Sus scrofa: one gene and its partners. The protein of the gene in region 1 binds, or shares a complex with, the protein of each later gene. Links are inferred from orthologs where the notes say so. Each region holds a gene or a part of one and is shown in the gene's direction. Other genes may lie near its edges. The genes, in order: RBM15B, METTL14 and WTAP.

The links.
Region 2: RBM15B (region 1) and METTL14 share a complex: the UniProt entries of both Homo sapiens proteins name them as parts of the WMM complex. The link is inferred for Sus scrofa from reciprocal best matches to the Homo sapiens genes RBM15B and METTL14.
Region 3: RBM15B (region 1) and WTAP share a complex: the UniProt entries of both Homo sapiens proteins name them as parts of the WMM complex. The link is inferred for Sus scrofa from reciprocal best matches to the Homo sapiens genes RBM15B and WTAP.

The regions. Positions count from the first base shown.
Region 1 is NC_010455.5:33,659,880-33,669,840, forward strand, and holds the start of RBM15B (putative RNA-binding protein 15B), read left to right. Parts: upstream 1-4,507; 5' UTR 4,508-4,592; coding exon 4,593-7,274; 3' UTR 7,275-9,961. Other genes in the region: MANF (mesencephalic astrocyte-derived neurotrophic factor precursor), read left to right, coding at 139-280, 1,906-2,090. UniProt on the Homo sapiens protein: RNA-binding protein that acts as a key regulator of N6-methyladenosine (m6A) methylation of RNAs, thereby regulating different processes, such as alternative splicing of mRNAs and X chromosome inactivation mediated by Xist RNA.
Region 2 is NC_010450.4:105,043,355-105,052,872, reverse strand, and holds part of METTL14 (N6-adenosine-methyltransferase subunit METTL14), read left to right. Parts: intron 1-3,477; coding exon 3,478-3,566; intron 3,567-4,481; coding exon 4,482-4,569; intron 4,570-5,636; coding exon 5,637-5,717; intron 5,718-6,110; coding exon 6,111-6,198; intron 6,199-9,518. UniProt on the Homo sapiens protein: The METTL3-METTL14 heterodimer forms a N6-methyltransferase complex that methylates adenosine residues at the N(6) position of some mRNAs and regulates the circadian clock, differentiation of embryonic stem cells and cortical neurogenesis.
Region 3 is NC_010443.5:7,644,785-7,655,064, reverse strand, and holds the start of WTAP (pre-mRNA-splicing regulator WTAP), read left to right. Parts: upstream 1-3,792; 5' UTR 3,793-3,857; coding exon of another isoform or gene 3,858-4,030; intron 4,031-4,130; coding exon of another isoform or gene 4,131-4,296; intron 4,297-4,421; coding exon of another isoform or gene 4,422-4,425; intron 4,426-10,280. Other genes in the region: uncharacterized protein LOC102157641, read right to left, coding at 2,974-3,784, 3,858-4,030, 4,131-4,296, 4,422-4,425. UniProt on the Homo sapiens protein: Associated component of the WMM complex, a complex that mediates N6-methyladenosine (m6A) methylation of RNAs, a modification that plays a role in the efficiency of mRNA splicing and RNA processing.

The DNA.
Region 1 (9,961 bases):
TGAATCTGACTGCCAGTCCAGGCGGGACATGGGAAAATGAGGCCCTGGCAGAGAAAGATTTTTTTGGGGTATCAGTATGTTGGAGGAGACAGCTCTGGAGCGGCACCTCCTGAAGGCCATTGTCCTTTCTTGCTGCAGTGCTACTACATTGGGGCCACAGATGATGCAGCCACCAAGATCATCAATGAGGTGTCGAAGCCCCTGGCCCACCACATCCCTGTGGAGAAGATCTGTGAGAAGCTCAAGAAGAAGGACAGCCAGATCTGTGAGCTAAAGTATGGTGAGTGTGGCCTTATTTAACTAACACTGCACCCCACTCTGCAGTAAAATTAATGAAGTTTACTTTCTAGTTTGGGGAGGCACATGATAAATTAGAGCCTTTTTGAGTGAGATATATGGCATGGTAGGTTGTGCTTAATGGGGGTGAGGAGTTGCATGTATTTGATCATTCATCATGGTGGGTGGAGGTCAGAATAGGCCTCATTGAGGAGGTGACATTTCAGCAAACTTTGAAGGAGGTGAGGGATTTACTAAGGACACAATTAATGGAAGAGCACTTCAGGCAGAGTAAACAGGCAATGTAAAGGCAGCCAGTGGCATGACTCATGGGTGGGCAAGTCACAGGGGGCCTTGCAGATTGCCAGAATTTGGCTTTTAGTTTGAGGAAAGATGGGAATGTTCGTTTTTGAGCAGAGAAGGGGTGTGGTCTGGCTTGGCTTTAACAGGGTGCAAGCTCTGCAGGCCAATGATCTTTATTGCTTTGAAAAGAAAGGCTCTTTCTATGGAGTTCCCGCGGTGGCTCAGTGGTTAACGAATCCGACTAGGAACCATGAGGTTTCGGGTTCAGTCCCTGGCCTCGCTCAGGTGGTTAAGGATCCGGCGTTGCCGTGAGCTGTGGTGTAGGTTGCAGACGCGGCTTGGATCCCTTGTTGCTGTGGCTCTGGTGTAGGCCAGCAGCTACAGCTCCGATTTGACCCCTAGCCTGGGAACCTCCATATGCCGTGGGAGCACCTATTAAAGGCAAAAAGACCAAAGAGGAAAAAAGAAAAAAAAAAAAAAAAAAAAAAAAGGCTGTTTCTCAACGGGCAAGCGCAAGATTATGGGTGCAAGGCATCTCTTTTGCTGAATAAGTCTCTGGTGGGAAAAACACTCTTGGACTTCGGAAAGGAGTCAGGGCCAAGAATAGTTGTCATTTTCGTAAAATTTAAACAGCACCAACAAGAATTCTCTGGTGGATCAATAGGTTAAGGATCTGGCATTGTCACTCTTGTGGCTTGGGTCGCTGCTGTGGCACAGGTTTATCACTGGCCTGTAAAGTTCTCCGAGTGCAGGCATAGCCAAAATAAAAAGTGACTAAACAGCACCAGCACACTTGATTGTGAACTCATTGTCCAAGGGCTGTGTTTGCCCCTTGCCCCCTTGGGTCAAGGATTACTGGTCTTCTGAGAGTGATCCTGGTTCAGTGCTGATGGCTTGCAAGTGGCCATGGGGAGTAAGCTAACTCAAGGGCCTGACCAGGGTCTGTGCTGGGACATTGGAGCTAGGGGATCTATCTGTGCTGTCACCCTGGAGCTCTCATTCTACAGTGATGTGAGCTCTACTATTTAAAAGGCACTTCGAGTGGAAGTCTCATTCCTCTTGTAAAGTTCCTCTTGTCAGGACCATGTGGCCTCTGTCCCTGGTCAACACTGCATGTTTGTGGTAGACATTGCCACCGTGAGACCCACTTTCCTAGTGAAGTGGGGGCAGTGGGCACTGACACACACACCTGCATGTGTTGGCAAGTGTCTCTCCCCATGGGACAAGTAGGGCCACTTGTTTGATGGGATGTTTTCACTGCAGAGGACTATTAGAGTCCATAGTTGCTCCCACCCAGCTGGTTATTCTCCTTGCTCTCTCCTCTAGACAAGCAGATCGACCTGAGCACAGTGGACCTGAAGAAGCTCCGAGTTAAAGAGCTAAAGAAGATCCTAGACGACTGGGGGGAGACGTGCAAAGGCTGTGCAGAAAAGTCTGACTACATCCGGAAGATTAATGAACTGATGCCAAAATATGCCCCCAAGGCAGCCAGTTCACGGACTGATTTGTAGTCTGCCGAATCCCTGCTGCACCTGAGGGGAAAAACAGTTCATCTGTGTCTTCCCCAAACAGCCTTTTTGTAATTTATTTTTTAGGTGGGCTCCTGACAAAGTCAGGTGTGAAGCCTGGAGGAGCTTTCCTGATGATGCTGAGTCTACAGCGCCCCCTTGGAGGGGATTCACTTTGTTCTGTTGCGGGTTTACACTAGGACTTCCAAGTGTGTCTGGAATTTTTTTATTAAAGGAAGAAAATTTCTAGCTGTCCTTGAAGAATTAAAGAGAATACTGAAATAGGGTTTTACCCATAGTGAAGATTTCACCGGTTTGTGCTTTCCAGTTTACAAAGAGTTTTCAGATGCATTCACATTAGTCCTTCAACCATCAGTTAGATACGAGGGTGGGACAGGGGATTGAGGCATGTGGGGTTGTGCAGGACTGGAGGGAGTGCTGGGGAAGAGGTTCAGCTTGATACCCCACCCGGCAGGGACTGTCCTCTTGAGAGGAGCTGATATCTGGGCTCAGCTGAGGGATGTTGAGTGTGGTTTTCTGTGATGATGATTTCAAAAACTGTATGTTCAGCACCATCGCATTTCTAAAGATGCTCATCGCCTGGCTACCTCTACCAGTCACCGGCCAGATGTGGCCATCTACTTGTTCATCTGAGTTTGGTCTAGTGTCAGTCCCATTTGGGATTTTGCAAGTCTGGCAGAGTTGGACTGTACAAAGAGCCAATGAGAGGCTGCTTTTTACCTTTGTTTACCCAAGATAAGCATAACACTTAGGGGTCCTGAGAGTTTGTCCCAGAGTGTCCCCAAGATGGGCTTTTTAGTTGCTCCCTTTGAGGATGGTGCTTAGGAAACCCAGTTGTCAATGTGAGCCTTGACTCACCTCTGAGACCCCTGTTCTCGCACCTCAGGACCACCTGGAGGAAAGGCCTAAGAAGCAGTGCTTTCCAAGGAATTGCCCTGGCCTGGGGTCACAATTGTGCAATTTCTAAATTCAGTTTGCCTACATGAAGTGCCTCTCAGCCTGCTGTGGCATCCACTGATGCTTGTCAACAGCAGGACTGCATTTTCCGCCCTTGCAGCAACATGTCTGAGGAAAGCAAAAAGTTTGAGCCATTTCTCAGGCCAGGTCTTCCAGATTTAGACGAAGTAGATGAGCTGTTAAATCTAACAAGCATAGAGCATCCTGAGGCCCTGAAAGGTGCCAAGGAAGGTCCATGGCTGGAGCCAGAACTCCTACGAGGTGGAGCTGTCTCAGCACCCTAGGTCTGTGTTCCATATCCTCCAGACCACACCAAACGGAAAACAGGCCAATTAACTGCTACCCTCGGGCTGAGCTACAAGTGTCTCTGTCTAGGAAGGGGTTAACTCCTGGAAGCAGATTTCAGAAATGTTACAGGTGTTTCTTCGGAAACATTAACTCTTGGACCTGCCTCAGTTGCTCCGGGAGTTGCTTTCTCTGTGGGAGGAGGGAAGAACCGTGGTGCGTTTTGCTCACTCCATAGTTTCTGTGGCTGAAGTTGGGTCAGGTTCTGCGAACCCTCCAGCAACCCTGCAGAATGAACGCTTCCCCAAGGGGCTTGGATGCTGAGCAGGATTCTCCCTCCCCTCTCCTCGGGAACATATTCCCAGTCATCTCGCCATCTTGGAAGTGGATAGGAGGACGCTGGCCAGTGAAAGGTAAGCATGGCAAGCTGGGTAAGCCCTGGGTTTATTCTCCGCCATTGTTTCCGTGGCCCTGCCCTTACAGCTCTCTTTCTGCTCGAACGCTCAGGGCAGAGGGTGGGGCCCCATGGCACCAAGGAGCCTGGTGCCACTCGGGAAACCGCCGGCATGTCTCAGCTTTCCGTGCCTAGGGCTTCTGCATGCGTGGCCATGCTCCTCATATGGCCTTTCAGAGGCCTGCTGTAGGTGTGCCTGAACGCAGGGGATGCTCAAGATATGGGGCGTGGGTCCTAGGGGGCGGCATGCTTTGGTCCTCAGGGTTGTCCATCCCGGACGACGGTCAGGAGACTCGGGCGAGGTATGGGAGTCACGCAAACCTAGTCTTGGAATTGGGAATATCACGTAAAGAGGCCGCTACTCCCGCTTCCATCCGGCTACCCTGGCCGCCCAGCCCGGAGCCAGAGGCCTAGGTGCAGCAGTGCTCTCGACACGACTATGATTTCCATAGAACTCCGGCCACGCGGTGGCGCCAGAGCTCACTGCCTAGACAAGCTCGCTGGCTTGCAACGGGGATCACGTGGCACGGGGCGGCGCATCCCAATGACGCACACCCGGCGCAGCTCTTGCCCCGCCCGCCTCAGAGTCACGTGGTGCGGGCGGCGCAGCCAGATAACGCGACACCCGGCCCCTGGGCGCCGCTCCCGCCCCGCCCCGCCGCCACCGCCGCGCCGAGTCCTTTTGTCCAAGATGGCGGCGCCGGGGGCGCTGCCTCCTCGGCCGCCGCCGCCGCCGCCGCCGCTGTGAGAGGCCCGCGGGCCGCCCGCCCGCCCGCCGCGCCGGCGCCATGAAGAGGCAGAGCGAGCGAGACTCGAGCCCAGGCGGGCGCGGCTCGTCATCATCGGCCAAGCGACCGCGGGAGCGCGAACGGGAGGCAGAGGCGGGCGGGCGGCGGGCGGCGCACAAGGCCTCGGGCGGCACCAAGCACCCCGTTCCAACGCGGGCCCGCGAGAAACCCCGCGGTAGCGGGGGCGGCGGGGGTGGGCATCGCGACGGCCGCGGCGCCGGGGACGCGAATCATCGTGCGAGCAGCGGCCGCGCCTCGGGTTCGGGCGCCGGCGGCGGGGGACGCGGCGGCAAGGCCTCGGGGGATCCGGGCGCTTCAGGCGCTTCGCCCCGCGCGTCTCCGCTGCCGCCACCTCCCCCGCCGCCCGGGTCCGAGCCCGCGGGTCCCGGCTCTTCCGCGGCCGCACCCGAGTATAAGACGCTGCTCATCAGCAGCTTGAGTCCCGCGCTGCCCGCCGAGCATCTCGAGGACCGGCTCTTCCACCAGTTCAAGCGCTTCGGCGAGATCAGCCTGCGCTTGTCGCACACGCCTGAGCTGGGCCGCGTGGCCTACGTGAACTTCCGGCACCCACAGGACGCACGCGAGGCCCGACAGCACGCCCTGGCCCGCCAGCTGCTGCTCTACGACCGTCCGCTCAAGGTGGAACCCGTGTACCTGCGCGGCGGCGGCGGCGGCGGCGGGAGCAGCCGAAGAAGCAGCAGCAGTAGCGCCGCCGCCTCCACACCGCCCCCGGGGCCGCCCGCGCCGGCCGATCCACTCGGCTACCTCCCGCTGCACGGCGGCTACCAGTACAAGCAGCGTTCGCTGTCACCGGTTGCTGCCCCGCCACTGCGAGAGCCCCGCGCCCGCCACGCCGCCGCAGCCTTTGCCCTGGATGCTGCCGCCGCCGCCGCCGTAGGACTATCCCGGGAGCGGGCCCTGGACTACTACGGGTTGTATGACGACCGCGGACGCCCCTACGGCTACCCGGCCGTGTGCGAGGAGGACCTGATGCCTGAGGACGACCAGCGGGCCACGCGAAACCTCTTCATCGGTAACCTGGACCACAGCGTGTCAGAGGTGGAGCTGAGACGGGCTTTCGAAAAGTATGGCATCATTGAGGAGGTGGTCATCAAGAGACCCGCCCGTGGTCAGGGCGGTGCGTATGCCTTTCTCAAGTTCCAGAACCTGGATATGGCCCATAGAGCTAAGGTGGCCATGTCAGGTCGGGTGATCGGCCGCAACCCCATTAAGATAGGCTACGGCAAGGCGAACCCCACTACTCGCCTCTGGGTGGGTGGCCTGGGACCCAACACCTCACTGGCGGCTCTGGCCCGGGAGTTTGACCGCTTTGGGAGCATACGGACCATTGATCACGTCAAAGGAGATAGCTTTGCTTACATCCAGTACGAGAGCTTGGACGCAGCGCAGGCCGCCTGTGCTAAAATGAGGGGCTTTCCCTTGGGTGGTCCAGACCGCAGGCTGCGGGTGGATTTTGCCAAAGCAGAGGAGACTCGGTATCCCCAGCAGTACCAGCCCTCACCCCTCCCTGTGCATTACGAACTTCTCCCTGATGGATATACCCGTCATCGAAACCTGGATGCCGACCTGCGGGTGCGGGATAGGACCCCCCCACACCTCCTGTACTCGGACCGAGACCGGACCTTCTTGGAAGGGGACTGGACCAGCCCCAGTAAAAGTTCTGACCGCCGGAACAGCCTGGAAGGGTACAGCCGCTCAGTGCGCAGCCGGAGTGGCGAACGCTGGGGAGGAGATGGTGACCGGGGCCTGCCCAAGCCCTGGGAGGAGAGGCGGAAACGGAGAAGCCTTTCCAGTGATCGAGGGAGGACCACCCACTCCCCTTATGAGGAACGGAGCAGGACCAAGGGTGGTGGGCAGCAGGCTGACCGAGGCTCTGACCGTACCCCTGAGCGCAGCCGCAAGGAAAATCACTCCAGTGAAGGGACCAAGGAATTGAGCGGCAACTCCCTCAGCAACAGCAGACATGGGGCTGAGGAGCGGAGCCACCACCACCACCATGAGGCTCCAGACTCTTCCCACGGGAAGAAGACACGAGAGAGCGAGCGCAATCATCGGACCACTGAGGCTGAAACCAAGCCTCTGGAAGAGCCAAAACATGAGACCAAAAAGCTCAAGAATCTTTCAGAGTATGCCCAGACACTGCAGCTGGGTTGGAATGGGCTTCTAGTGTTGAAAAACAGCTGCTTCCCGACATCTATGCACATCCTAGAGGGGGACCAGGGGGTTATCAGCGGTCTCCTCAAAGACCACACTTCTGGGAGTAAGCTGACCCAGCTGAAGATTGCCCAGCGCCTTCGACTGGACCAGCCCAAGCTCGATGAGGTCACACGACGCATCAAGCAGGGGAGCCCCAATGGCTACGCAGTGCTCCTAGCCACCCAGGCGACCCCCAGTGGGCCTGGCACTGAGGGGATGCCCACAGTGGAGCCAGGCCTACAGAGGCGGCTTCTCAGGAACCTGGTCTCCTACTTGAAACAGAAGCAGGCTGCAGGGGTGATCAGCCTGCCAGTAGGTGGGTCCAAAGGCAGAGACAGCACAGGCATGCTCTATGCCTTCCCGCCTTGCGACTTTTCACAGCAGTACCTCCAGTCAGCACTGAGGACATTGGGCAAGCTAGAAGAAGAACACATGGTGATAGTTATAGTAAGAGACACAGCCTAGCCCAAACCTGTCTTTTCCACTCATTTGTGTCACAAAAGCAGTTATTTTAAAATCTGATCCCCCTCCCTTTTTCCCATCTTACCCCTTGGTTTGAATTCTCTGCTGGGTTATTTCAGTTGGTTTGGTAGGGGACCAAAGTCCTGTCCTCCGCCAGAACTAAGTTCTTAGGTTTGGGGGTTTTTTCCTTTTTTTACAGTGATGAGAAGGGACTCCTGTCATGTTGGTTTCTAGTGTATGAAATACTGTCTGCTGTGTTCTGTATTATTTTTTGACTAACTGTATGGAAAGTTGTCAGTAAATACTTTGTCAGAGGATGGATTTTTAATTCTGCTCAGAATCCTGGTTTAATCACAGGGTTTTGTTTTGTTTTGTTTTGTTTTTCCCCCCAAAGAATGGAAAACTTCCCTGCTCCATGCACACAAAGGCCCTTCATCATCTTTGCACCAATGGTGTATCTCAGTCCTCCTGCATTGGTGGCTCTCAGCTCCTCAGCTCTTTGGGCGCTGGACTACATCTGCATTTGTTTTTTATCTTGGCTGAGAGCAGATGGGTTTCATTTTGTACCCAGTCCATGCCGACCAGCGCAGAGCTCATGCACGGGAAGGGTTTGAGTCTGAAGGGTAGCCTGCGGCTGTGGTAGTTTTTAGCTTTTGTTTCCCTGTCCTAAACAATGTGTGTGTATCCATCAGTTTGAGCTGTAGCTACAAAGCACCCATCTTTAGGCCTTTTTGAAAGCAGGTAGTCTTTAGCAGTTGCGTGGTCTTGTCATGGGAGGAGCAGTGCAATATTAATGCCAAGGGGTCTTGGGTGCCATGGATCTGCGCCACCTCCTTCTCTTGTTCAGCCTCCCTTCTAGCCTTAATGCAGCAGCCCGGGGATACCCAATTGGAGACAGCTGCCTCGGACTCCCAGGCACATTGGAAGCCACTTGCTGGAATGGAGAGTAGGCGGCAGCTTTCATGGGTTAATTCTTGAACTTTTCCTGGTGTTTGTGAATTCTGGTTTTTCCTTCAGCTGTTTGGGGCTGATGTGTCAATGGACTGGGCTTCTGCGCAGTCACTGGAGCTTTGTGAGAACACTGAATTGCTGGCCTGAAGAGTTTTTGAGGGAGTCCTGTGGGCTATAGGAAGATGCTCTTGTTAACTGTCGTAACTTTGCCAGGTTCAAGGTGGGAACGCATGCCTTGGCCTCTTGCCCTGATACTGAGGAGGTGGGGACCCCTGGAAGATAGGTGCTTCTGTGGGGAAGTGTCACAGTTGCCGAGGTGTTGGGCAGTGCCAGAGCTCAAAGCCATTCAGGCTGAGCTGGGGAGGAATGTGGAGGCATCCTCAAGCTGGGAGGGAGAAATGGTTTCAGAGAAGTCTCACGTTCTTTGGCCACTTGTCTCTGCTGAGGGTATGACCAGCATTGGCCGATAAAGCCAGCAGTGTCAGGGACCAGAGAGGGAAATCAGTCACACAACAATTGTCACAAGAGAACATAGCTCAAACACCATTTTCCAGAATGTTTGTGGCAGTTGAGATGTTCCAAAAGATGTTCCAACTTGTTCACAGTCAAGGTTGAAGGAGAGCAGGAGCTCCAGTAAAGGAAATGAGTCCCAAGTGACCAGGAGCTCTGGGTTCTGTTGGTCCTGCCGTCCTCTCTGGGTCTGGTCCACCACCCTGGCTGGCACGAGGCAGCACGGGTGACAGCTGGGATGTTTTGAGAGTTTGTAAGGTAGAGGCAGGGCCTCAGTGTGCATTCATGGAGGATATGTACCTTTCCACAGGACAATGAAAGAGGTGACTTTTCCAGACCTTAATAATTGAAGCAGGAAAAGGAAGGGGCCTGGGAAGTACTCCTTGGGCTTCAGCTGATGCTCATGAGAGAACAAGCATGTTCCTAACAGAACATTTAACACAGGGAAGTGTTAGATGTGCTTGTCTGTTTGTACTTGAGCTTTGGTCACCACTGCCAGGTATCTGAGCAAAGCAGTGCAGGGCACAGGCCGCAGCTGCACCATTCCAGGCATTGGCACCACCAGAAGCAGGAGTGGGCCTCATCTTGTGTAGAGCAGATGAGGCAGAGGTGAAGGCACACTACCAAATGTCTGGGTCACTGGCCAGAGCTGCCAAGCTCTGTTTAAGCCCCAAACTTTTCTGGGCTCTTCCTTTATAGAGTGGGTGCTTGGGCCCCAGAGTACTATGCCTCCCAGCCTGTCTAGACAGAAACCTGCTGGGTAACCTGGTTGGAGAAGACACTTAAACCCTTGCTTTATTCACCGTTCTTCAGGGATAGGTGCTCTCCAGCCCCAGAATGAATGACTGTTTTGGCGAAGAACCACACCCCGCTGTCTGACCATCCTCCTCTTCCCTGGACCCTCTTCTCAACTCCTTTCTTCTGCTCTTAAGACACAGCAGATTCTGTAACAGTCTCTCAGAACGGCCTTGGCCAGCACCAGCAAGGGTAGGTCGCGTGGTCAAGGCCCTGGCTGGGTGATGGTGCTGCTGCCCCCGAGAGAGAATGATGTGGCTGCAGGCATCCAGTGCCGCCTCCGGGGGTTCAGGTCCTAGCTGAGATGTGGCTTAAAGGCAAAATTTGTCCCACTGGTGGTTTGCTACTGTTCTACATGTTTCTTCCTCAGTGACTCAGATTCTGAGCCCTGGCAGAGTAAGAAAGGGCTGATGTTTCCGTAACCTCTTCGGGCA
Region 2 (9,518 bases), on another chromosome or scaffold:
GCCTGGGTGTAAATCTTAGATTCTGTATCTTGTGTGTTGCAGTCGATTGTGCTGTGTACGGTAACCTCGTCAACACCTACAGCTAATGTTTGAATTCTTACTCTGTATCAGTCACCACAAACGTCTGAAATAGGTAGTATTATCATCACTTAACAGATAATGAAACAGAAGCTTCAGAGGTTAAGTCATTTTTGACCCGGGTCTTTCACCGCTAGGACAGAAAATTGAACTCAGGTTTGTCTCTCCAAAGCTTATCTTCATACTCCCTGTGTATAAGTTAGCATTTACTTAAAGTATAGACTGCTACTTAAGTCTGAGGCTGTGTTTTCCATTCTATCATTCAGATCAGTGAAAGTGATGGGGGAAATGCTCATAGGCTTTAATAGGGCATCTTATTTTTTTTCAGTAATAAATCTTGTTTTTAGTAAGTGGAAATCTGAGACCTTTTCTTTTATGATGTCTTAAAAAGATTTATGGTACAGTGTTTAAAAAGTGGGTATTTGGAATCAGATCTGTCCCTGTCCTTTTGGTGTTGTGATTTTGGACATATCAGGTATCTTTTCCAGGCCTTTCTTTTCCCAGTTTTTTTTTTTTTTATCATGTTATCTTCAAAAATGATCAGTAGTTCTATTACCCCCACTGTTTAGTTTTGAATTCAAACCTCTATTTGATTCAAAATACATTTATAAACAGTTATTTGAGTGTCTCACTATATGCGAGAAGCTCTCGTAGACATTGGGAATTCAACTATGAATAATAAGTAGTCTTACCCTTGAAGAGCTTACATGGTGTGCAGAATTTAATAATGGCAGCCATTTATTAAATCCCTTGTATTGTTAAGACTCTGCCAAGTTTTTACTTATATTTGATCGTACAAGTCAGGTGCTGTCTGCACCTTATAGATGAAGAAAATAAAGCTCAAAGAATTTAGTTACATGCTGCAGTCCACAATGCTTTTAAGTTTGCAGGATGCAGTTTTAGGCCTTTGCATGCCCTTTGCAATACACCTAGTTGCCTCCTGGTGTAGTTGGACAGGAACCATTCCACTTAGGTAAGGATGTTCAATGTAGTCAATGACAGACTTCCACTTTTACCAATTTCAGCCTCTTTTTCACTTACTTTTCTCTGTATGAATAAGACAGACTGGTTTATTACTCTCCAGAATGTGATTTGTGCAATATATACTTGATTTTTAGTAATTGTCCTTCCTTTCTGATTTCTTTCTATCCACTGTGGCACACTCCAGGTCCAAACTTGATGAAATCTATCCTGATCTCCCTGTTTTAGGCTCTTTTCTCGCTCAGCTTCCATTGTCCTTACTGTTGAGTCCACTACTGTGTGTAACTAACCATCATACACAATACAGTTTGTGTGCATTTAATTCCTGTTGTGTTCATCTTCCACCCTAACTTTGTTTCTTGTCCAAAGTAAGCTTTTAATAAATTTTTGTTGATTAATAACTGTTAGAGTACAACTCAATGTGTATAATTTCCCTGATTTGCTTTTGGCTGCTGGATGAAGATATTGGATGCAGTGTATAGGCCCAGACCATGACTGTGGCAAATGATGTGCAATTTACATGTGCTTTTTACTGAACTTGTAGCTTTGTTTCAGAAAATTGCACTTGCTTTCAGATGATACCAAATTGTTGTAATTACTCAAATAATTTATTTAGGGTTACCACAATGGAAAGTCTGTTATTTAAGTTATTCTATTACAGTTTTTAAAAAAAAATTTGGAGTTTGAGAAGACAATTATATATGTGAGCGGAATTTGATTTAAAGCATTCGTCTTGGAGTTCCCATTGTGGCTCAGTGGTTATCGAGTCTGACCAAGAACCATGAGGTTGTGGGTTTGATCCCTGCCCTTGCTCAGTGGGTTAAGGATCCGGCGTTGCCGTGAGCTCTGGTGTAGGTTGCAGACGTGGCTTGGATCCCGCGTTGCTGTAGCTCTGGCGTAGGCTGGCAGCTACAGCTCCAATTAGACCCCTAGCCTGGGAACCTCCATGTACCGAGGGAGCGGCCCTAGAAAAGGCAAAAAGGCAAAAAAAAAAAAAAGCATTCGTCTTGTAAAACATTGTATTCTAATTTAGGCCTTGGTAGGAAATTTCATTTGTTCATTCACATATTTATTGAGCATCTGCTATAAGTCAGACATTATAAGTAGCTGCTGAACTTAGAGATTTCAATAGGACAGAGTTCTCCTCAGTAAGCTAACATTTCTTTGGGAGAGAAGTAAACAAAAGTAAATTGATAAAGTAATTGAAGTGTATCAATAAAAAAATTGAAAGTTGTGATAGAGACTGTGATTCAATATAAATAAAGAATAAACAAAAGTAAAGCTAAAAGTTTGTATTAAGTGCTTTGATCTGAATGAGGAAATTAGGAGATGAAAAGAATAATGAAAGGAGGCTGCCTATTCTATATACAGTATTCAGGAAAGAACCACCTGAGGAAATAATTTGTTTTCTTTTGAGATTTGAAGGGAATGGAGTCAGAGGTGGGAAGAAGGTTAGAAAGCATTCTACCTGTGAGAAGTAGATGTGTCTTCTGACTAAAGAGAAGAGTGATCGGGAATATTTTATGGAAAGTTGAAATAGCAGGAACAGTTGATATCTTGGAAGAGATTTATCATTGGAGAATCCTTAGGGGAGTCATGAAGTGGGTAGTCTGAAGAGGCAGTGGTAATTGTTTAAGATCAAGGCTGGGGACTTGCAGCTTTAATATTGTAGCACGCCTTCTCATCTTTCTTGAGTTTAAGGGGCTATTTAATGATGATTTCCTCATGCCCTTCTTGTACTTATATATATTATGGTTCTTCATGATCTGTAAATTGCATTCTACCCTTCTTGGTTTGGTTTTTAAAGTTTTCCCTGAATTGATCTCACTATGTAGCCAGGCTTATCTCAATAGTAATTTGTTTAGAAAGGTTATATTTTGCAAAATTTCCTCAACTGCCAACCAGAACTTGCATTACTATTTTTTGGGTATTTGTAAAGATTAGTATTGGCACCTGTAATCATTATATACAGCATTGGCTTGAGTAAAACTGAATAGGTATTTATTATATCATGGGGATAAATAAGGTACAGCACATGAGCTGATAGATGCAAAGCATTTAGCATAGTGCCTACCACACTATAAACCCTGTATGTTAGCTACTTTTTTTGGCTATTGCAACTCCTGTTAAATTGTGTTTTATTATTTGCTTTAAAAGTAGAGGACCGGCTCGAGTTGTTTTAATTTCAAAGTAACTGAAAGCATAAAATACTTTTCAGCTGTCAAAATCATTCATAATTAACATGGTTTTTTTCCCAAGGTATTTTCTGTTTTTCCCGCAAGGTGATTAGTCCATTTGCCTGCTGTGGTAGTTACAGGTATTTTCTTTTAATACTTGGTATATTAAATGCTGCTACAAATGGCTGAAAAGGCTATTCAGTGCATTGTGATCTAATTTTTGGTTTTTACCTTTTCCCAGTTGGGAGCCGAAAGTGCTGACAGCATTGGTGCTGTGTTAAATAGCAAAGATGAGCAGAGAGAAATTGCTGAAACAAGAGAAACTTGCAGGTCAGTGGATAATTTTTGTTGTTAGTGACATATTAATATTTGCGAAAGGAACATATTAATAAACAGTAATCCCAGGTATGAAGTATGTTGTTATGATAAGCATTAACATGGAGATTTGGAAAATATTGTATTTTATTGTTCATAAATTATGAAATATTTCCTTTTTTTTTTTTTTTTTTTTGTCTTTTTGCCATTTCTTGGGCCCCTCCTGCCGCATATGGAGGTTCCCAGGCCAGGGGTCGAATCGGAGCTGTAGCTGCCAGCCTACGCCAGAGCCACAGCAACACGGGATCCGAGCCGCGTCTGCGACCTACACCACAGCTCACGGCAACGCCAGATGGTTAACCCACTGAGCAAGGGCAGGGATTGAACCCGCAACCTCATGGTTCCCAGTCGGATTTGTTAACCACTGCGCCACAACAGGAACTCCTGAAATACTTATTTTCTAAGCATAATTCTCATTTACAAGTAGTTTAAAAATAGAATGTTAGACTAAGAATTAGCTTATATACCATAAATAATTTTACTTTAAAAAATCATTATAAAACACACATTTTACCCTAAAGGTAGTATTCATTTGGTAGTTCAGAAAGCATTTATAATTTTTCAGTATTGTAGTTTATCAACTTGAACATCAATTTTGCAAGACAGATTGGAATGATACATAATGTAGAAGTTTCTTTTTGCTATACATGTTATAAAAGCTTATTTTCTCATTTGATTGCTTTCTCATAAAAATATAGAATTATTAATCAGGTTGGATACTTTTAAGATTTATAAAAGGGGTGAATAGATACTGTTTAGTTAGGAAAAATTTGCCCTGTCTGTTTTCATAACCTGTTACTTAATATTATTGTAGCTATATTTATACATCTTATATATATTTGTGTGTGATACTTAGGTTTTAATTTTCAGGGCTTCTTATGATACCTCTACTCCAAATGCAAAACGTAAGTATCAAGATGAAGGAGAGACAGATGAAGACAAAATAGAAGAATACAAGGCAAGTATAAAATGGAACAATTTTATGGTCAAGATAAAAATAAATGTTTGAAATCCATATATTCTTAACCCAGGAAAACAAATTTATCAAAAGCTGAATTTTGACAGAATACTGAGTATATGTAATTAGTAAATTCAGACTTTTATATCAGTTTTCTTATTTTTAACACAAGAGGTTGTGGGTTAAATTCGGCAATGTATATAAAGTACTTAGCATAATGCCTAATAAGCACTAGGCAATAACATTCTTAAATAAAAATAAAAATAAGAAGGGAGATGTATCAGAAACTTTGCAGAATTGAATCAAATTTCGAGATGCTACAGTGCTTTTTCAAGTTGCATTATTCCATGCTAATGATAAAGGATAGTACAACTAAAATATTTTGAGACCTCATGGGTTAGATGGCATTGTAGAACCACTTCTGACAGAGGCCCAAAGAAAAACCCCAGTTTCTAAATTTGTAATTGCAATATTTAGTTGAAAAGAAAGCCAAGGACAAAAAAACTACCTCCATTTTTTCAAATTAATTGTTGTACAGTTGTATTCAATAGAGAAGAGAATAGTTTCAGTAAATCTCTAGGTATAACACCTAATTTAATAAATACTATCGTGTGGTGGTTGCATTTTTATATATACTAACATAGAACTTAAATATTTATGATTAGGTCAAATGATATACAGTTCCTAACATTTTAACATTTTTTGTTAAAATATAAAAATAGCAGTTTTGTATAGTTTGATCTAATAGAAATAAAATTGCCTCATTAGTGGTCATATCTTTTCTGATTTGAGCTAAATTCTAATGTTTAAGGTATTATATCTGAGGTAAATAAAGACATTTATTATTGATGAGAATGAAAAGGAAATTTTTATTTTATTATAAACATAACTAGTTAGAGCTGATGTTGATAAATCAAAGCCTTCACTGTTTGACTTTAACAGTAATTTGAAAATTTTATTGTATCTCAGGGAAATAAAATACTTAGGAGTCTTAATATTCAAGATATCATAATACATAAACTATTCCTCTTATATATAAAATGTCTACTTTGTCTTCCTTTTCCAAGGATGAATTAGAAATGCAACAAGAGGAAGAGAATTTGCCATATGAAGAAGAAATTTACAAAGATTCTAGTACTTTTCTTAAGGTAAGTAAAGTGTAGTATTGGTGCCTGTAATCATTATATGCAGACTTGGCTTGAATAAAACCAAGTAGGTATTTATTACAGCATGGGATAAATAAGGTATAATACATGAGTTGATGGATGCAAAGCATTTTAACATAGGGCTTACCACACTATAAACACTATGTTAGCGACTTTTTTTGGCTATTGCAACTACTGCTAAATTGTGTTTTATTATTTGCTTTAAAAGTAGAGTACTGTCTTTAGTAGTGTCTGTAGATAAGAGTAGTACTACCATTTTAGTGGTGATGTTTTCTTTTTTTTTAATCTATCACTTATATTTTGTTCGGCCTTATAATAAAAAATAAAGTTCAGAGTTAGCATACCTACCATTAATTATTTTGACTTTTTCTTTAGGGAACACAGAGTTTAAATCCCCATAATGATTACTGCCAACATTTTGTAGACACTGGACATAGACCTCAGAATTTCATCAGGGATGTAGGTATGTCAGATTCGTTGGGAATATGCTGTTGCTAGCTCATGATTACATGCATGTAATTATCCATTTTGTGGTTAATTTCTAACAAAATGATGTTTCCTGGCTTGGCTTCCCCTTTCCACTCTTAATACTTCTGGTACACGCTCTTTTTCTATCAAGCTGTGTTACTTTTTTCCTTCTTTCCTTTTTCCTTCTTTCCTTCATTTTGGTTCTGTGACTATCCCTTATTTTTATTTTACCTTCACTTACTACTTTGATGCTCTTTCTTTCTTTATGTAGATCTGATTTTCTGACCTGTGTTATTTTCCTTTTCTCTAAAGAATTGTCTTTAACATTTCTTGTAAGGCAGGTCTGTTGGCAGCAAGTTCACTCAATTTTTGTTTGAGAAAGTCTTTATTTCTCCTTTACTTTTGAAAGACTAATTTCATAAAATATAGAATTCTAGATTGGTGTTTTATTTCTTTGAACACTTTATATATTTTATTTCACTTCTTGCTTGTTTCTGGGAATTTGGATATAATTCTTAGCTTTGTTCTCAATAGGTAGTTTTTTTTTCTTTCTGGTTTCTTTCAGGATTTTTCCTTTGTCTTTGATTTTCTGTAGTTTGAAAAATATGTATGTGCATATACATATGTATATATGTGTGTGTGTATTTACATATACATATATGTATATGTATAGTTGGCTTTTGTTTGTTTGGTTTGGGGGCATTTATCCTGTGGTACTTTCTGAGCTTCTTGAATCTGGGGTTTGATGTCTGACATTAATTTGGGGAAATTCTCAGTCATTATTGTTTCAGATATTTCTTCTGTTCCTCTTTCTGTTTTTCCTCCTTCTGGATATTTTCATTACATATTACACCTTTTGTAAGGTGGTGTCCCATATTCTTTGGATATTCTGGCCTTTTTTTCCCCAATTTTTTTTTTTTTTTACTTTTCACTTTTTGAGATTTCTATTGAAATATCATCAAGGTCATATTCTTTCCTCAGCTGTGTCCAGTCTGCCAATAGACTGCATTTTTAAAAACAGTTTGAGATAATTCATGTACCATACAATTCACCCACTTAAAGAATATAATTCAGTTTTTAAAAAATATATATCTACAGGTTTATACAATTGTTACTGCAATCTTAGAATTTTTTTTAAAAAATTGAGGTATAGTTGATTTACAGTATTAAATAAGTTTTAGGTGTACCAATAGTGGTACAAAGATTATACTCTATTATAGTTATTATAAAATATTGGCTGTATTCCCTCTGCTATACAATATATTTTTGTTGCTTAGTATATGTGTAGAAGTTTATACCTCTTAATCCCCTACCCCATACGGCTCTCCTACTTTCTTCTCCCCTATGGTAACCACTACTTTATTCTCTCTATCTGTGAGTCGTTCTTTTTTGTTATATTCACTAATTTGTTTTATTTTTTAGATTCCACATATAAGTGATAATACACAGTATTTATCTTTGACTTAATTCACTAAGCGTAATACCCTCCAAGTCCATCTGTATTGTCGCAAATGGCAAAATGTCATTCTGTTTTATGGCTGAGTAGTACTCCATTGTGTATATACACAGACACACATCATATCTTCTTTATTCATTTATGTGTTGATGGACGCTTTGAGTGCAATTGCTGATCATATGGTAGCTCTATTTTTAGTTTTTTGAGAACCCTCCATACTGTCTTCCACAGAGACTACCAATTTATGTCCTACCACCAGTGGATACAAGGGTTCCTTTTTCTCCACACCCTTAGAATATTTTCACCTCCCCTAAAGAATCTGAGTAGTTACTAGCAGTCAGTTCCCATTCCTTCTCCCACAGTTGCTCCCCAGCCTTAAGTAACCATTAATTGACTCTTGTCTCTATTGGTTTGCCTATTCTAGACACTTCATGTAATTGAATGAAGTGTAATATCACTTCATTGTGATATTTTGTGACTAGGCTTTTTTCACTTAACAATGTTTTCAAGTGCCATTGATGTTGCACATGTATCAGTACTTTATTTCTTTTTTTTGCCGAATAATACTCCGCTGTATGTTCATACTGCATTTTTTAATCTATTCATTTGGTTGTTTCCACTTTTCGACTATTATAAACTCTACTGTTATGAATATTCTTATAAAGGTTTTTTGTGGATGTATGCTTTCATTTCTCTTGGGTATGTGTTTGGTAGTGAAATTGCTGGATCATGTGGTAATTCTGTGTTCCTACTTTTTGAGGAGCTGCTCAACTGTTTTTCAGGGCACTGGACCATTTACATTCCTACCAACAATATGTGAGGGTTCCAGTTTCTTCACATCCTTGACACTTTCTACTATCTGTCTTTTTAATTCTAGCCGTCCACTATGAATTAGTATTTCATTGTGGCTTTGATTTGCTTTTCCTTAGTGACTAATATTAAAAACCTTTTCATATGCTTATTTTCCCACTTAAATACCTACTTTGGAGAAATGTCTCTAAACTGCTTATTTTTTAAATGGTTATTTGTTTTTTTATTATTATATTGTAAGAGTTTTTAATATATTCTTAGTAGAAATCCCTCATTAGGTGTATGATTTATAAATATTTTCTTCTGTTCTGTGGGTTGTCTTTTCACTTCCTTGATGGTATCATTTGCAACACAGACATTTTTTTTTTTTTTGTCTTTTGTCTTTTTGTTGTTGTTGTTGTTGTTGTTGCTATTTCTTGGGCCGCTCCCGCGGCATATGGAGGTTCCCAGGCTAGGGGTTGAATCGGAGCTGTAGCCACCGGCCTACGCCAGAGCCACAGCAACGCAGGATCCGAGCCGCGTCTGCAACCTACACCACAGCTCACGGCAACGCCGGATCGTTAACCCACTGAGCAAGGGCAGGGACCGAACCCGCAACCTCATGGTTCCTAGTCGGATTCGTTAACCACTGCGCCACGACAGGAACTCCAAACACAGACACTTTAATTTTGTTGTTCCTGATATGGTTCAGTGGGTTAAGAACCTGACAAAGTGTCCCTGAGGATGTGGGTTTGATCCTTGGCCTTGCTCAGTGGGTTAAGGATCGGGTTTTGCTGCAAGATGTGGTTGAGGTTGAAGCTCGGATCCTGTGTTGCTGTGGCTGTGGCCTAGGCTGGCAGCTGCAGCTCCAATTCAACCCCTAGCCTGGGAACTTCCGTACACCATAGGTGCAGCCATAAAAATCAAAAAACTTTTTAAAAATTCCAATGTTATCCACTTTATTTTTTTCTTTTGTTGCTTGTGAACAACATGTAGAAACTATTTTCATGGGCAAAATTTAGATGTGGCATAAAAGGTTGTGATAGTGGTAAGTGAAAATGTCTGTCACA
Region 3 (10,280 bases), on another chromosome or scaffold:
CAAAATAACTCATTTTTCTTTTTGGGATGAATATTGACAAATGTATCTACTGGGTAACCATCACTCTAATCATAACGTGGGATATTTTCTTTCTTTTTTTGCTTTTGAGGGCTGCGGCATATGGAGGTTCCCAGACAAGGGGTCAAATCGGAGCTACCGGCCTACACCACAGCCACAACAATGCCAGATCTGCAACCTACACCATAGCTCAAGGCACCGCCAAATCCTTAACCCACTGAGCGAAGCCAGGGATCGAACCTCCATCCTTGTGGATACTAGTCAGATTCGTTTCTGCTGAGGCACAACGGGAACTCCCATAATGTGGAATATTTTCATCAACCTCCCCCCCAAAGTTCCCCAGGTTCCTTTCCAACTGATTCCTGCTCTTCTGCACTCAGAGCCAAGCACGGATTTGACTTCTCTCCCTGAAGATTAGTCTTGCCTGCTCTCCCGAGTCCTGCTGACATATCTGCATCAGCCTAAGCACTTCCTTTGCACCCAGGCACAACAAAACGTCTATTTCACCCTGTGCTTTCCCTGACCCAGAACTGGAACTAGACACTTCTCTGAGGAGCTCTGGCTCTATTTTGTGAGAATGGAACTTAGGAGTCATGAGCTGGACGCCAGGTGTACTGCCACTGTTACTGTCAAGGTGACCAGCCATCCCGGTTTGTCTGGAACACTTCCGAGTTTTGTGTTTTGTTTTTTTTGTCTTAGGTCTTTTTAGGGCCACACCTGCAGCATATGCAGGTTCCAAGGCTAGGGGTCAAATCGGAGCTGTAGCTGCCGGTCAACACCACAGCCGAGTCTTCAACCTACACCACAGCTTACAGCAATGCCAGATCCTTAACCCACTGAGCAGAGCCAGGGATTGAACCCGCGTCCTCAAGGATACTAGTCAGGTTCGTTAACCACTGAGCCACGATGGGAACTCCCACTTTCAGTTTTAACACAATAGCATCTGTGGAAATCCTCAGTCCCTGGCAAATTGGGACAAGTGGTCACCATCCTAGTGCTTCTAGGCCCTTATGGGGCACAGACCTAGGACATTTACTTTTAAAATCGTGTGCGCAAATTGATATATCCAATTCAAAGGTATGACGGATTTTTTTCCTGAACTTCCTTGATTTTCTATTTATACCTCATTTCTCTTACACTGAAAGTCTTGTACTTTAAAACACTAAGGAGTTCCCATTGTGGCTCAGCAGGTTAAGAACCCAACTAGTATCCATGAGGATTCGGGTTCAATCTCTGGCCTCGCTCAGTGGGTTAAGGATCTGGCATGGCCAGAGGCTGTGGTGAAGGTCACAAGTGTGGCAACAGCAAATCTGATGTGGTGGCATCAGCTGGCAGCTGCAGCTCTGATTCAGGCTCTAGCCCAGGAATGTCCATATGTCACTGGGGGCAACCATAAAAAGAAAATAAAATTAAATTATTTGCATTATCCTACAATACACATAGTTTCAAAGCCACAGCAACAATACTACTACCATTAATTATAAAACAGAGTGAAGCTAAAGATTCCTTTGCACTTCTTTCTCATCCTTAGACTATATCCCACCAGATAATTCTCTTAGAGTACCCTGTCCAAAAGTCCTGGGGAAATAATCCTTTTCTCTGTGTAACAACACAGTTACGCTACCAATGTGACTCAGAGTTAAGCTTAATTTGCTATCAACTTTTGCTTCCTTTTAAATTTACTTTCTCTGCTATATAAAACTTTAAAAGTTCAAATTCAGAAAAAGTGTTGCTTTTCTTTCTCCTCCACCACCCTCTATATGTAACCCCCTTTTGTCCCGTCCCCACAGCATGCAAAATTCAGGGGCCAGAGATCAAACCCATGCCACAGCAGCAACCTGAGCCACCGCAGTGACGACACCGGACATTTAACCTGCGGAGCCACATGGGAACTTCCGCAGATAACCACTTATTTTTCTTTCTTTCTTTCTTTTCCACTTTTGGCCACCCCACAGCATATGGAGTTCCTGAGCTGCTGCAACTTCGGCAACACTGGAACTTTAACCCACTGTGAGGGGCCAGGGACCAAACCTGCCACACGATGCTCCCATGATGCCCCCCCCAACCTTTGCCAGTTTCACCACAGCAGGAACTCCTAGATGAATGACCATTTTTACTGTTTCTAAGATATGCTTCCAATTTTCCATATAGGTTGGGATGCATTTCATAGCAACACATAAATATTATCCTCATACTTTATGGTTGTACTGTATCCCATACCCCATGGTAGGGATGGATCATGTATAGCCAGTTCCCTACTAACGGACATATGGGTTATTTCTTTTTCTCTTTTTTTTGGTCTTTCTAGGTCTGCACCCGCAGCATGCGGAGGTTCCCAGGGTAGGGGTCAAATCAGAGCTGTAGCTGCCGGCCTACACCACAGCCACAGCAACGCCAGATCCATAACCCACTGAGGGAGGCCAGGGATCGAACCCATGGATGTTAGTTGGGTTTGTTAACCGCTGAGCCACAACAGGAACTCCGATTTCTAAACTTCTGTGAGGACAGTGCAACAAGAAACCTTGCCTACATGTTATTTCTGTATGTGAGGATGTATTTTCAGAATCAGGTTAGGGTTAGAGGTGGAATTTGCAAGACATGTGAATAAGTGCATATATAATCTTGGTACTCCATAGGGCTTGAATCACTTTCCAATTCCTACCAGAAGGTTAATGAGCACGGTTTATTCGTAGAATTCCAATGTGCATTTCCATTACGCGCGAGGACAAACAACCGTTCATATTTAAGGATCATTGCTGTTCTTTGGTGTGAAATGTCTATTCATGCCTTGCCCATTTTTCTCTTCGGATTTTGGTCTTTGAACACACTTTAATACTATCCTTATAGATTATCTCATTCCAGCACACGTCCTGAGGATAAATGGTTTGGGTAAGGCTAGATAATACCAGCCAAATTAAAAGAATTACCTGAATATATTCAAATTTTAAAACTTACATTACTAGGTTCAAAAACCTTCCAAGGTTCTCCGGTCCCTTGTTTCTGGATGACCAAGGTGCCCCTAGGGCTGCTGACATACGCACAACCTCTCCGCTAGACAACAATAGCTCCCCGGTTGCGCCTCGAGATGTCAAGGCGGGGACAAACCAAGCGTCCAAGAGGCCGTCCTTCCCGAAGAAAGAGGGAGCCCCGGTTTCTAAATTCTCAAAACCTAGTGAGGCCTCGCGGAGTCCACACTGCCCAGCCGCCCAGCCCACGGCCCGCTGCCGAGGTCGCACCTGGCCGCCAGCACGCGGAAGCACCACGGCTGGGAGCTGCACCAAGACGCGGCCAATCACGCGCCGCCTTCGCCCAGATTCCTCCGCCAGAGGCCGCGCTGCAGCCGCAGGTGGCCCAGCGAGCGCGTCCAACCAGCGCCACCGAGCGCGACCCCCGCCGGCCTTCCCGTGATGCCCCGCGGCTGACCTGCGACCTCGCGGCTCACCCCTCCCCGCGGCCCGCTTCCCTCCCCGCCCCCGCCGAGCTGGAAGCGCTGGGGCGGCCGCGGGCCGTGCCACTAGGCGCAGCTCCTCCCCGAGCGCCTCGAGGCCCCCAGCGGGCGCCTTCCATTCGTCTTTCCTCTCCGCGGCGGGGCCTGGCGGGCGGGTCGCTGCGTCCGCGTCCGGGAGGTGACTCGTCGGTGAGCGGGCCGAGCGCGAACATGGCGGGATGGAGAAGGGCGGGCGCCGGCGGCGGCGGCGGCGCGGGGCGGGGCGGCGCGGCGGGAGGAGCGGGGAAGGGGGTGGGGCGACGGGGCCTCGCTTCCTCCCTCAGCGCCATTTTGTGGCAGCGAGACCCGCAAATAAAGGGGAGCGCCAGGGCTGCGGCGGGAGGAGGCGCGCGGGGGCCGGCGGCAGCGCGGTCGGGCGGCCCGGGCAGCGAGCGGCGGCGCGCGGTCGGCCTATGTGACTGGGCGGCGCCCGCGCGGCCTCCGTCCGGAGAGGTAGGTGCGGGCCGGGCCCCGGCCAGAGCGGCGGCGAGGACCTCAGGGTCCCCGGGGCTGAGGCGCGGCCGCCTGGCCCGGCAAAGGGGCGGACAGGGCACGGAGGGCGACTCGGGGTCCCCGGGCCCGCCAGCCTCCCGTTAGCCGCGCCGCCTTCCTGCTGCGGGCACACTTCCGCCGCCCCGAGGCCATTTTACCTTCGCTCTCCGTCTCCGGGCCCGAGGGCGAGGTGGGCGCTCCCGCGGGCCGGCGGCACCGGGAGGCCGCCCCCTCGGCGCGCGTCCCGTCCCCGCCTCGGTGCCGCCGGCGCCCACCTCCTTTCGAGCGGATCCCGCGGTCTGGCGGCACCCACGAGCTCAGCAGGGGAGGGAAAGCAGCGTTCGTTGACCGAATTTCACGTCGCGCAGTGGGGTATTACCGCCGCTGCGTTTTCTTGTGGACTTCCATTTTCAAATGATTGCACGCATCGTGGTTTTTAAAATACATGCTCTTTTGAGCCCGAGATCTTCATAGCATTTTAAACTCTCGTCTTGGATTCCTATAAAGCTGTTTTTAATTTCTTAGAACCCTGTTTCTCTAGTCAGTGGGGAACACCTCAGTGGGAAAGTCCAGGTTCTTGTTTTGATGAAGTCACTTGGCTGTTTGATCCCAAAGGACTATGTGAAAATCCTAAGGAACCCTGATTGTGAAGTAGGAAACTGTTCTTTTGCCCGAGATAGAAAAATACTTCCATGGGTATGTTACAGTCCTGAGTTGCTCCTCTCGTTTTCCATCTCAGAATTTAATTAATTCCATTGCTGAAGAAGAAAAGTGGAAGTCACAGGTCTTTCACCCCAAGTTCTAAGCGGGTTTTTTGCACTTTTAAAGAAAACTTGAATTGTTGATTTACAATGTTACATGAGTGTCAGGCGTACAGTGGAAGTGATTATCCACTGAGTTTTTTATTTTAAAATTTTGACTGTTAAGGTTTCTGTGACATAAACATAGAGGTATTTAAAGCTCTGTTAAAAAATTGCAAGATGCCTGCATTTTATTTATTTACACCTGTCATTCAGTAGCGTCCGATTAGGCAAGTTGGGAAAAGAAATCACGAGCATTAGAAATTGGGAAAGATCTTGCTGTATACACAGGGAGCTGTATCTAATCACTTGTAGTGGAACCCAATGCAGGGCAATGTGAGAAAAAGTGTGTGTGTATGTATATATATATATAAATAACTGGGTCCCTTTGCTGAACAATACAAGTTGACAGAACATTGTAAATTAACTATAATAAAAATTTTAGACTAAAAGACAAAAAATTTGACAAAAACAAAAAAAATTTAAAGAAATTGGGACTTGTGATAAAGATGGGGTTCGATTTTAAGGGTTTGGGTGGCTGTATTCCTTGAGTTCTTTCAAATCTTGCATTATTTTAAGCAGATGGCTGTAGTTAAGTGATCAGTATTTTCACTTCTCAGTGGTGGAACTCAGGCAATTTCGAAGTCCAGAAGGACAAAAGTAATAATAAGTGTGTCCCAGGCACTGCTGTTTTTTACTTAGCTCATCTATGAAACTTAATAATATCTAGATTTCTGGTTGAATTTTGTGTATTTGCCAGAAATGAGTTAGTATAGTGTAGAAAACCCATGGCAGCGTTATGACGTGGAGATGACAGTTGCAGTAATACAAGTTATTAGAAGTTATTAGCTCTGAAAGCTAATAATTATGAAGTTATTAGTTTTCAGGGTCCCTTACAGTTTTGTGTGTATATATGTAGACTGGAATACCCTAGACAACATTTTTTTAGATGTCTTGTTGATCATTTTCATATAATTGTACATTATCTCACTTCTGAAAAAAATGTTCCTTGCTCCTAAAAATTTGTGGGATCCTTTGGCAAAACAAGACCTAGATAGTGTTCATTTGGTTTATTCTTGTTTTTTATTATCACTCACTCTTCTGCCTCTAAATATTTTCTGCCAAGCTTGTCAGAGCAAAACTTCGATTCTTATAACAGTGTATCTCATTGGATATAAAGGTGGTGCATCAGGTTAGAACCAGTGCTATAAGTAAATGTTCTCAAGTCTTGAAATATAGTTGGTGGAATTTAATCTTTCCTAAAAGCACATTAAAGTTCTCTTTTATGTTAATGTTAGTATTTAAATTTGAATTTTTTTTGTTTGTATGGCATCTTTATGGCACTTGAAGCATTGAGATGTGCGGCACTTTGCAAAGCAGGGAAAATTGGTATCCTCTTCTTGCTGATTGGGAGACTGCAGTCCAAGTAGTGGCTTGCTGCTACATAGTCAAGACAAGCTGGTCTTCCAGTTCCTCACTAGTAGACTTTACAGTGTCAGATTAGTTCCTTAAGTTGGATTATGATTAGTTTCAGCGAGGTACATGCTTTCTTACTGAAGTTGTGTGGGCTAGTGCGTGATGCTCTGTTAAGGGAGAACTTACGACACCAAGAGCCAGGGAAGTACTGGAATCTGGGATGCTAGACACCTAGCCAGCCAAAACTGAGTTCTCCAGCCAAAGCTGTCTGTCAGTGTAAAGCATCAAGAGTAGATTCTGACATTCTAAACACGAGAACTATATTATTTCTGAGTTCTTGACGTGGATAACAAACTTTTACATACAACATAAAATAGTATTTTAACCAGTCTTCTTAAGCTTGCTAAAAGGTAGCCAGATTTGCCGGTTTTTATTTTTTTTCTCTTGCTTTTTTCCGTTCTCTACTTTAGCTAGCTAAGCTTAATCATTGTTGAGGATGGAGGGGTGGGAGAATGGTCCATCTTCATCATTACCAGCTTTTAAGAGGCACTGAGTTTGGGGTCCTAACTCCCTATTTTAGATTAATAGTTGTTTTAATCTGACTCATAACTCTTCATCATCTGGAAAATGGGGACTAACTTTGAAAAGTTATGGTTATTAAATAAGTGACTCATAGCAGTAGGTATATATTCATTTTTTTCCCTTCAAGATTTAAGGTTCAACTCCAAATGATAATTCAGTTACTCTGTTTTTCTGATATGAGACTAGACTGTTCTAAGAACCTGCAATATACATGCTCTTTATGAATCTAGAATTGACTTTAAGTGGTTATTGTGCTTGTCAATTGTGCTTTTTTAAAATGGCCTTGAAAAGTAATAAATTGCATAGCACATGTGCAGTGTCAAAGGCAGAATTGAGGATCAGGTTCTATTTTGAATAAATAGTTTGAATGTTGGTGTTTTCAAATTTTAAGGCTGTTCTAATTTGCCTTTTGCCGCACTGTCCATTTCACTACTGTGGCACGTCATGGAATCTCAAGCAAAGATTGACTTTTCATCAGCTAAAGATGAGGGAATTTTTTCTAAATGCTTATGCTTTGATTTCCTAAGTTACATATTCCATAAGGTGGAATGACATGTGATTGAGAGCCAACATATGAAATGCAAATATATATACGAAACTCGTATTTACCCCGACTTAACATTACACATTTAGATGTTTGTTTTTATGAAGAAAATCTAGATATCCTCTAAGCAATGTGTAATTGAAGTCTACCCAGCATCAAACTTTTCAAAAGAGAGTAAGCTATGGCTAAAAATGTAAATAACCTGCTGTTAAGAATTCTGAAAATTGGGGGGGGGGTCACCAAGAATTCTGCAGTGGGGCTTAGAAACAAAAACAGGAACATGTTAAGATTCTTATCCTCAATTTGTGAATTCTCTCTTCAGATTCTTTATGAAGTATGATTGAGCATCCTTATTTTTTATGGTGGTTTTTTTCTTTATTCCCTAATGGGAAGAGGGAAACTAATAATAAAATGCTTACTTTGTGTCAGTCACTATGCCAAAAGGCTAATATTTATTTTCAAAAATAGCACAATAATTTGGAGCTATGCTGGTGGTAATCCTTTTTAAAATGGGGAAACTGAGGCTCAGAGGTTCTCCTGCTTTTTTTGTTTTCACAGTTTGCCACCTTCTAGAAAAGCAGGGTTATTTGAACTTCTTTATGTGTTTCCCAGTCCTTCAAATACCCTTTAAAAACAGTTTAGCTGATTTACTGCTAATTAAAGTTGCAATTAGGTTTATTTTAATACTCTTTTAAGAATCTGTATAAGTATATATTAAGAAAAGAATGAACAAATAAACCTGGGGGGAGGTGTCAGGTTGTAGAAACATGTACTAGTTTTTAAAATGAGTTTATATTAAATATTATCTATGATACTCAAGAGGTTTTGTGGGTTTTGTTGTTTGTTTTTTGTGGATACTAGTCTCATTTCCCCTGTGCCACATGGGGTACTCCTCACTTTTACGGTTTGAATAGTAACCGAAACAAATTCATTTGTCATACTTTGCATTTACGGTGTTTGTTTTTTTTTTTGGTCTTTTTGCTATTTCTTTGGGCTGCTCCTGCGGCTTATGGAGGTTCCCAGGCTAGGGGTCGAATCGGAGCTGTAGCCACTGACCTACGCCAGAGCCACAGCAACACAGGATCCGAGCTGCTTGTCTGCACAGCTCACGGCAACACCGGATCGTTAACCCACTGAGCAAGGGCAGGGAGCGAACCCGAGACCTCATGGTTCCTAGTCGGATTAACCACTGTGCCACGACGGGAACTCCTATGGTGTATTTTAATGCCTACTATATGTACTGTGGCAGCAGCAGTGACTGATTCTTTCATGGAGCTTATAACTGGGAAGAACAGCTAGGTATATAAAATGTCAGGTTGGAGTTCCTGTTGTGGCGCAACGGTAACGAACCCAGCTAGTATCCATGAGGATGCAGATTCAACCCCTGGCCTGGCTCAGTGGGTTAAGGATCTGATGTTGCCATAGCCTGTGGTGTAGGCCAGCAACTGCAGCTCCAAGTCAACCCCTAGCCTGGGAACTTCCATATCCTGTGGGTGTGGCCCTAAAAAGCAAAATAAAATAAAATGTCAGGTCATGGGAAGAGTTGAGAAAAAAATAAAAGGGATAGCAAGGAATTGGTATGCACAATTTTTGAGTCAATGGCAAAATTATTTCTTGTAGTTTGTTTTTAATTAAATACATTATCTTTCTCCTATATTTAGCTCTAGGCAAATGGGAAGTTCAAGGAAACATCACACTTGATTGTGGATTCCAAAAGGTTGCAGCCTAGTGGAGTGAACTCACATTAAAACCATGGTAATATTGGAGTTCCTGCTATGGCACAGCTGGTTAAAGATCTGACATTGTCTCTGTAGCTGCTCAGGTTGCTGCTGTGGTGCAGGTTCCATCACTGGCCCAGGAACTTCCATATGCCATGCGCACGGCCAAAAAAAATACCAAAAAAAAAAAAAGCTAAAATGGAAGTAGGCCTCTGGAGATAAATATGGTGAGAGTTTGCTTCCTAAATGATTGGATTTACTATTGGAACTGCTTGGGATAGTCACTAAGCAGCTGTCTCTAACTTGCAGCAGAGAGTATAAGCTGGGTAATTGGGGGCCTAAAGTAGACAAAGACCAATTTAAAGAATACAGATTTTTACGGGTTCTTTGGTAGTCTAGTGGTTAGGCTTTCACTTCTGCGGCCCAGGTTCAGTCCCTAGTCTGGAAACTGAGATTCCCACATCAAGATGTGCACACCGCAGCCAAAAAAAGAACGATTTTTGTTTTTTTGTCTTTTTGCCATTTAGCCGTTTCTAGGGCCGCTCCCGAGGCATATGGAGGTTCCCAGGCTAGGGGTCTAATCGGAGCTGTAGCCGCCGGCCTACACCACAGACACAGCAGTGCCAGATCCAAGCCACATCTGTGACCTATACCACAGCTCATGGGAACACTGGATCCTTAACCCACTGAGCAAGACCAGGGATCACACCCACAACCTCATGGTTCCCAGTCGGATTCGTTAACCACTGAGCCACAACGGGAACTCCAAAATATTTTTAAAGTATAGTTGATTTACAGTGTTGTATCACTTTCTGCTGTACAGGAAAGTGACCCAGTCATATGTATATGTATGCACACACTTCTCATATTATATTCTATCATGATCTGTTACAAGTGGTTGGATATAGGTCCCAGTGCTATACAGCAGGACTTCATTGCTTATCCATTCTAAATGTGATAGTTTGCATCTGTTGACCCCAAACTCCCAGTCCATTCCACTCCCCCTCTCCCTTTTGGCAACCACAAGTCTGCTCTCCATGTACGTCAGCCAGTTCTGAAGAACACAGATTTTTAAATTGTAGAAATAGGAGTTCCCGTTGTGGCGCAGCAGAAGCAAATCTGACTAGTAACCATGAGGTTTCGGGTTTGATCCCTGGCCTCACTCAGTGGGTTAAGGATCTGGTGTTTCTGTGAGCTGTGGTGTAGGTCCCAGACACGGCTCG